Rhinolophus ferrumequinum: one gene and its partner. The protein of the gene in region 1 binds, or shares a complex with, the protein of each later gene. Links are inferred from orthologs where the notes say so. Each region holds a gene or a part of one and is shown in the gene's direction. Other genes may lie near its edges.

Region 1 (4,085 bases):
CAACTTCAACCGAAATAGAGCACTGAATCAAAACCAACAACTACTAAACAAATGGACAATTTCGAGGACAGATTTTTTCCCCCTCAAAGTCTTTATCTTTCTATGGCAATTCAAAATGTTGCTGTAAAATTTTGCACTTTGGGAGAAAAAAGAATCCAAAGACGACTATAAACCTTAGGGAGCCTAGAGAAAAAAGTGGAGATACTGTAGCTAATGTATTGGGGTAAATGCAGAAAATTTAACTCAGAAACTAAGAGAGTATTCTCGTGTACAAGTGTAAAGCCTTCTGCACACAGTGTCGGGGGCCCTGAGTCATCACACAGGGACTGCTCTGAGCACATCAGGGAGACACCAGTCCCACTGCCTCAGTGGCAAGAGCACCGCCCCCCTCTCCCAACCCAGTTGTCCACAGGACCATCCTGACTGCATCACGCTGCTACTACCACTAATTGGGGTGGAAAGTGAGATGAACTTGATGGTTTTTCCTAAACCAGACACACAGTTAATTCTACCATTGTTTTTCAGACTAAGGCCTCTGGCATTTTTTGTTTGCCTCATAATGTTGTACTCCAAGCTTTTACTGGAGCCATGAAATGATCAATTCGATTTAGCTATGAAGATAGATTTGGCAGAGAATTTGATCATCTTAATAATTCATTGCCTGGGTGAAGAACTTGCAAATTGTTGCTTGCCTCCTGACTGTGGACTCCCTGGGGAAAGGCTGGGCTGGGGCTTAGTTAGCCTTTCAGCGTCACTGCTCATGTCCCAGTTTAGGGGAATACTAGTTAAGAAGGCTGATTGTTTTCTTGTTCATGAAAGTCAGACTGCTTAGGTTCAAATGATGGCTCTATCGCTTTGTAGCTTTGTGACCTCTGACAAGCTGTTGAACCTTAGTGATCCGTATAGGCAGTGGGGCTAATAGTAAGGTTATTACATGGAACACGTTAGGTAGTATATATCAAGCACTTAGCACGATGCCTGTTTGTAGGAAAACACCCAATAAATTTTAGTTGCTTTTGTAATGAAGCACTCTCCGTATTTTTCAAAAGCTATTTCGGCCTAATCAAATCTCTACAAAAAAGGCTATTGACCACGAAGTTTACACTTTCCTATTGCTACAAAATGTAAGATTGTAAAAAAATATGTAAATTCATTTATATCCATTAACTTAACTTGGAGATGTTGGATATTTGATCTTTCTTCAGAAATTGTACGGGAGGAAGGAACCCCATCACTCAAATGAATACGTGTCGCCATTGATGTGTATTGTGTTGATTCTTAATATCTGTTATAGGCATGTGTGAAACCGAGTAGCGTAAAAGCAGAATTTAGGCATTCCTGCCAAAAGGAAGTGAATTGAAAGGAAGAAAAGCAGAGCCTTTGCAAGGAGAAAATTGTCCTATCTCTCAGCCAGTGTCAGAATGTGGAAATGTTTACAAAATGCTCATTAAAAGAAAAAGGGATTCGGAGATAGCAACAAAATCTAGTGCACAAGTTTACACTAGAGAGATAAGAAAGGCTAGGCCCCTATAGGGGATTTTGTTATCCAATTACTGCAACCTGACTTTTGGGGGAAGAGGAAGAATGGTAGGGGGCGGGAGAGAGAGGGGAAGGGTTTCCAAACTTGTCTCCAGTGACAGGAGACATTTACGCTCTGCAAGATAAAACTGCCACTTAGAGCCTTGGAGAGCTAAACCTTCCTGGGTTGGCCTGGGGGCTGGAGCAGAGTCATGGGTTCTCTGGCCCTGCAGCTGTGTGCTCTCCTCTGCCTGGTGGCTCACTCTGTTTCTGGTAGCCCCATCATGAGCCTGGAGCAGTCGCCTCTGGAAGAAGATATGCCCCTCTTCGATGATGTCTTCTCAGAGCAAGACGGTGTTGACTTTGACACACTGCTGCAGAGCATGAAGGATGAGTTTCTCAAGACATTGAACCTGTCTGACATCCCTATGCAGGATTCAGCCAAGGTGGACCCACCAGAGTACATGCTGGAACTCTACAACAAATTTGCAACAGACCGGACCTCTATGCCATCTGCCAACATCATTAGGAGTTTCAAGAATGAAGGTAAGTTTACATTTTACTGGTGAAATTTGGCTGGGATTTTTTTTTTTTCCAAGAAGGGATAAGTAAATTTACAATGTATGGGAGTAATGTAGACCATCAAGGTAAATACATTTATATGAGGGTGTGTGTAGACAGATACACAAAACAATGCACATTAGGGTCTATATCATTTTTATGCTTATTTTCCAAATTGTATTAAGAGGTATTAAAGGATATCTTTTAATCCAAAGCCATGATGAAGTGTGTACCATTTTGACATTGTAACTGAGTCTTTAAATTTTTAAAATTTGGACAGCAAGTAATACAAAAAACTTAATGTTGGTCTACTACTATACCTTTATATTTTTCAGTTTCCACGTGGCTTTTGATTGACAAAAAATTTTCAACTTTTACTTAAAATGAAAATACACACACACACAAAAAGAAAGTTGTGATTTGTGTTCTGCTGAAACTTTGGATGAGTTTCCATTTTGTGACCTTATTTAAGAACTGTTCAAACAGGAAGGAAACTTGTATTTTAGAGATTCTTCCTAAAGTTTTGCTGCATTTGATATGACTTGAAACACTGTTTATAGTTTCCAGGAAGTGTACATGGCCCAGTTAATTATCCAGCTTGTTTCTGTGTCTTATGAAGAGTAATGCACAAGCTTTAAATATCAGCGGGAAAAGTGTGTTTTTTTTTCCTCTCAGATCTTTATTCAGTGGCTAAAAACAACAACAAAAACCCATCTAATATCTATGGTAAAAGCTTTGGGTTCAGAAAAACTATTTCCCAATTATGCTTTTATAATCATTAACCAGGTACAAAAAAGGATTTCGATCGATATTGGCCAGATATTCTTAAACGAGTAAGGTAGTGGCAAAGAAATAGCTCAGGGTTTGGAATTTTGAGAGCAGGTTGACTTAGCAGTTGCAGGTAATTTCTCTGAACCTCAATTTCCTCATCTGTAAACTGGGGATAATATACTGTACACACAATTGAGCAATTTAAAAGAGGTTATGAGTAAGAAACGTTCCATTTGCTATGAAAAGTGGAACAAACATCAGTTATTACTAATGAATTGCCTACATTGTAGGCATTAGAGAAAATGGTGAGTAGGTATCGCTCAGTCCTACAGATACCATTCGCCTTAAAAATTTAGTTGACAATCAAAATATCTAATATTTAGTAACATATTGGCTATGTGCTTTAGTAACATAATGGAAATGGGAAGCTGGCATTACAGAGTCCTTTGGAGGTGGGTCTGAATAGAAAATGAACAGCCTCCTCCGTGTGGGAACCCTTCCTTCCTAACACTCTGAGCGCTGAGCTGAGCCCTAGTGCCTGGCTCAAGGTGAGTGGGAAAATTCTCACATTCCCTGGAAAAGAGGAGTTTTTCAGTTCCTACTTCTCCCTGGGAGGATTTGGATGCTCCAGGTCAGAAAGTGGGGTTTACAGAGTTACTAGAGATCAGCAAGGGCAGTAACATCTGTCTGTGGACAATCCAAGCCCCCCTCTCCCCCATGGGTGAAAATGCTCAGCCCCTCAGGACACAAATCCTGCACTGTTGGCTACTATTGTCTCTCTTAGGTTTGCTCAGTGCAGCCTCCTAGGAGTCAGACCAATAAAACAAAACAAACCCCCAAGCCCTCCAAACCTAGCTAATCAGAGGAAAACACTTGCCACTTCCAAGGTGGAAAAAGCATGACTTCTATTCCTACCACTGCTCTGCTGTCATCTGGGGGAAGTCAATTTTATGCGTTGAGGTTCAATTTCTTCTGGGGTAAAATGAACAGAGTAGCAATACCTGCATTGTAGGGACATTGTAAGAGCTAAATAAAACAACGTTTGCAGAGCACCTGGCACATGAAAGTTGTTCAGAAATGCATCTCCTCTGTCTATTAGCTACCACATTTGAACATGCACAGTGAACTTATTTTAAACAGCTTTATCAAAGTATAATTGACATACAATGAATTGCACATATTTATAGTGTGCGATTTAGGTTTTGACATATGTAAACAGCCACTGAAACCATACT
Region 2 (4,085 bases), on another chromosome or scaffold:
GTCAAGAGATACTGTGTGATACTAATAGAACAGGAACTAAAGGGATATTATTTAAATTTATAAAGTAATAACGTAATGATCAATAATTAGGAGGGAGAGAATCTAAATGACCTAAATTTTGAAGCTTTTAAATCTATAAATAGCAGACAGGCAAATACTGCATGTTATCCCTTATCTGTGGAAACTAAAAAAAAAAAGTCAGGCTCATAGAAACAGTAAAAATGTGGTTGCCAGGGACTGGGGGGTAAGGAAAATAGAGAGGTTGGTAAACGTGGACAAACTTTCAGCTATAAGATGAATAAAGTCTGAAGATCTAATGTAAATGTATGGTGACTATAGTTGATAATGTATTGTATAATTGAAGTTAGCTAAGAGAGTAGAATTTAAATGTTCTCACACACACAAAAAAAAGATAAATATGTGAGATGATGGATGTGTTAATGAGGTGGGAGGAATCTTATCACAATGTATGTTTATCAAATCATTATGAGTACACTTTATCTACAGTTTTATTTGTCAATTATACCTCAATAAATCTGAACAAAACCTAGCTATAGCATTGTAAACATATTATTTAGAGTTATCGAAATAAATGTCAGAGAAATGAATAGCTGAAACTTTGAGAAGGGGTCTGGCCTCCGCAAAAGGGCCTGGGGGTGGGTACAGTTACCTCTCGTTATAAACTTGTCTGCAGAATTGTATTTATTTATTTTACCCCGTGCTTATTAGGGATGTCTTGAATTTTTTTTAGAATGGCTGCCTCATACTTCAAAGTCCTCTGCAGGAGCTACACATTCATCTGTATAACAATCCCCCAGGTATTAGTAGAAGAGGAAACATTTAGCACCCATTTTTGAGTAGGTAAGAAAATAGAGGCCCCGGTCACACAACCAAGCCTCCCGTTTCCAGACTCCCCAATTTATGCTCTCTGCTATCCCATAGCTTGGCCTAGCTCCCTCAAAACAAACTGGACGTCTGTGTGGTTTTTTAAACTGGTAGAGAGGACTCTCACGGACATATTGCTTTTATTCTGAGAATTGACAGAAAAGGAATTAACAGCGCTTTCTTACAGGTGTGGGAGCTGAGGCTCACACACAGTGACTCCAACTCCAAGCTTGGGATCTTTCCACTCCCTCTCCTCTTCCTCCTTTGGTGGGGCCAGTTTGGTGGAAGAGAGTCAGAGCCTCGAGGAGGCCTGTGAAAAAGAACAATCCGAGGTCACTGGACAGCCGGGGAGGAGGCGGTCCTGGAGCAGCTTCTCATCAGAGCCCAGGCTGAATGCCAACCCCCCCGGAGGCATTGTGTGGGCACCGTCTAATCTCAGACTCCTGCCCTGACATGCCAGCCCTTCCTTCAGAGGTTCCATCCTGAGATGAGTCATCCGAGGGCTCAGGGGCGGACCAGGAGCGGATGAAACCAACTAGGAGACATCCTGGAGGAGCTGGAGAGGAAGAGTCAGGTGACTTGGCTTGGACAATCTGGTCCCTGTCTGCCAGCCTCTTCCTAAGGTGCTGGGCTGTCCCCACCATCCCCAAACCTTGACACTAGCCAAATTGCCTTTTTACCTGAACTGTGGTGACAGGGCCTGAGACCAGGTAGTTTCCCGAACTTTAGAGACAAAGATCTCATAAAGCTGGAAAGGACCTTTGGGCATATCTGGTCTACAAGTATATACCTCAATGTATATCGGCCCAGAGAGGCGATCCAGGCCTGGAATGCAGGACACCGTGACGCCTTCTGCCATGAGCTACAGGAGACCTAGAGAGGTCACTTCCTCTTCCTTCAGGCAAAATTTGGCTGCACCCAGCCCACACAGCTGAGACTCTCTCCTCTGTGTCGAATAGATGGAAAACAGAATTCATAGGTATCTGCCTCACTTCTTTCCTAAAGGAAACCGACATTTCTTCCCCCTCAGGTCCCTGTTCTATTGTTTTTATGTCTCTCACATTTGAAAAATCCCTAGGATGTCTGATCTAAATCTCCCAGTCTACAATTTAAAGGAAGCAAAGCCCAGCTCACACTCAGTTAATTTTCCTCCCTTTTAATTCCTACTTAGCCTGGTGTAGAACCAGCTACATAATTTGTGGGGCCCAGTACAAAATGAAAACGCTGAAATCTTTGTTCAAACATTATTAAGAATTTCAAGACGGCAACAACAGAGCCTTAAACCAAGTGTGGGGAGGGGCCCTGTGTGTCTAAACAACCATGAAACTGGCCCGGCTGCAGTGGCAAGAGCGATGCTTGAACTCAGTATTCATAGCTGATTCTGAAAAGTCAAGTGGTCCATTCCCTTGCCTTTATGCCAGACTCCCGGTCATCTGCCGTCCATAGCTGAGACTTTCCTTGAGATTTCACCCACACAACCTTCCCAGGATCTCCAGGCCTCTGCTCCATACTGCTGGGAAATTCTTCTGAATATCTAAATTTAAATCTTAGTCCTTTGGGCCTGTTTCCTCTTGTTCTGTCCTCACTGATTATGGGGAACAGCTGGTCCTTTTGAGTAATTAATTCTTGTAGACTTGGACACAGTCTGTAATTCCTTTTTCCTTTCCTCATTGGGCTCAGTCTCCACGGCGCTCTCCAACTCCGTCCCTCCTCTGATGCCTTCCCCAGGTTCTCTGCGTGCTGTGGAAGGCATGGGGTTCACAAGACTCTCCAAAGAGCACCCACCAGTCAGGGTCCAGAGGGCTCAACGCCAGGGAGGTGGGGGAGACTCCAGCATTGACATACAGCCCGTACCCCATTGGGCTCTGTCTTCCTCCTGCAAATTGTACTCTGCTTGTATCTGTTTCATGAACCCTTCCCTGATAAAACCCCCCACCCCCACTGACTCTCTTGGGGACTCTCAGCTCTTCTCCATCTCGATGTTTCTGTTCTCAATGTGTGTCTCAAACTGAATGCTTCCCTTGGGGAAGCCCACACTTCCACCTCCCAGGATAGAGATCCATAGGCTCGGGCTAGGAGAGGTTTCTCTGAAGCCATAGCAGGGCAGGGGAAAGAGTGGCTATGGAAGATGGACACGCGGCCACACTCCCAGTTCTCCAGCTAATAGAGTGCCAAGTGGCCGCTATAATCTGCAAGAGCAGATACCGTAATCCCATAGTACTTCCTATTGGCTGCAGGAACATAGTTCTGCCCTGACACTGAAATTTGGGCGTGTCTTGGTTCTGGAATTCACATGCTCACAAGTTGTGAAGCAGCTGCCGGTTTGGGAGTGGGGAGGGTTTCAGCAAAGGAAGTGAAGTCAGTCAACAATTGAAGCATGTCTGAGCCTTTAGTCATTGTCTCCCCCAGTCTCTATTCCTGTCAAAGGGCGAGGGTCCCTGGCCCATCTCACAGAATATCCATATTAAAGCAAGACAACTTAGAGGTCTGTTCTTGCTTCTAATACCCACGTCTTTCTACTTGACTGAGGCCACCCCCTCCTCAGCCTTTTCATTTATTAATTTAAACACTTTCATTGAGGGCCTACCCAGTATCAGATCAGCCAACCCTATGAGGCGAGCACTGTTTATTATGCCCATTTAGCAGATGGGAGACTGAGGCATGGAGGGGTGTCACTTTTCTAAGATTATGTAACTTAGTCTGGATTCCCAGACTACAGTCTTGGTGAATAACCAGAAGCGTGGGAATAAAACTGGAGTCCTGCCTTCAGGGTGCTCGCAGTGGTTGGAGCAAAGCAAGACAACGATGGAAGTGCTCTGAGCCTGAGTGAGGGCATCAGGAAGAAGAGTTTATTTCTCCCTGGGAGAGAAGCCATTCTGCTCCCCTCCCAAATGCCTTGTCCACCTCGTTGTCAGAGCAGTACGTGGAGGAAGGCTCCAGACCCATCTTTAAAGCTCCATTTGGTGGGGTGAGAGACCTGCCTCCAAGGGAGCAGTCCAAAAAGGTCCCAGCCTCTTCCTCCATCCTGGCTGCCCCGGTGGGGAGAGGGGTCCTTGTCACTGGCTGCACTGCGGCCAGCCGGCTGGAGGGGCTCAGACCGTCTTCACCACCTACCCGGAGCCGCCCCATCTGGGCCTGTTTACCCTGAGCTAAGCAGAGAGGCTGCGGAAGAGGGGAGGGGACAAGAGTGGGTGATGGGG

What was found.
Region 2: the proteins of BMP10 (region 1) and ACVRL1 are in contact, whole or in part, in a crystal structure (PDB 6SF1), measured with the Homo sapiens proteins. The link is inferred for Rhinolophus ferrumequinum from reciprocal best matches to the Homo sapiens genes BMP10 and ACVRL1. Residues at the interface, in NP_055297.1 of Homo sapiens: Tyr322, Asn357, Tyr358, Pro359, Ala361, Glu362, His363, Pro366, Thr367, Lys368, Ile371, Leu375, Leu378, Lys379, Ser381, Lys386; in NP_000011.2 of Homo sapiens: His40, Val54, Val56, Arg57, Glu58, Glu59, His66, Gly70, Asn71, Leu72, His73, Glu75, Leu76, Phe84, Val85, His87.

What each region holds. Positions count from the first base shown.
Region 1 is NC_046296.1:21,838,181-21,842,265, forward strand, and holds the start of BMP10 (bone morphogenetic protein 10), read left to right. Parts: upstream 1-1,571; 5' UTR 1,572-1,730; coding exon 1,731-2,064; intron 2,065-4,085. UniProt on the Homo sapiens protein: Required for maintaining the proliferative activity of embryonic cardiomyocytes by preventing premature activation of the negative cell cycle regulator CDKN1C/p57KIP and maintaining the required expression levels of cardiogenic factors such as MEF2C and NKX2-5.
Region 2 is NC_046293.1:52,139,185-52,143,269, forward strand, and holds the start of ACVRL1 (serine/threonine-protein kinase receptor R3), read left to right. Parts: upstream 1-1,122; 5' UTR 1,123-1,410; coding exon 1,411-1,459; intron 1,460-4,085. UniProt on the Homo sapiens protein: Type I receptor for TGF-beta family ligands BMP9/GDF2 and BMP10 and important regulator of normal blood vessel development. On ligand binding, forms a receptor complex consisting of two type II and two type I transmembrane serine/threonine kinases.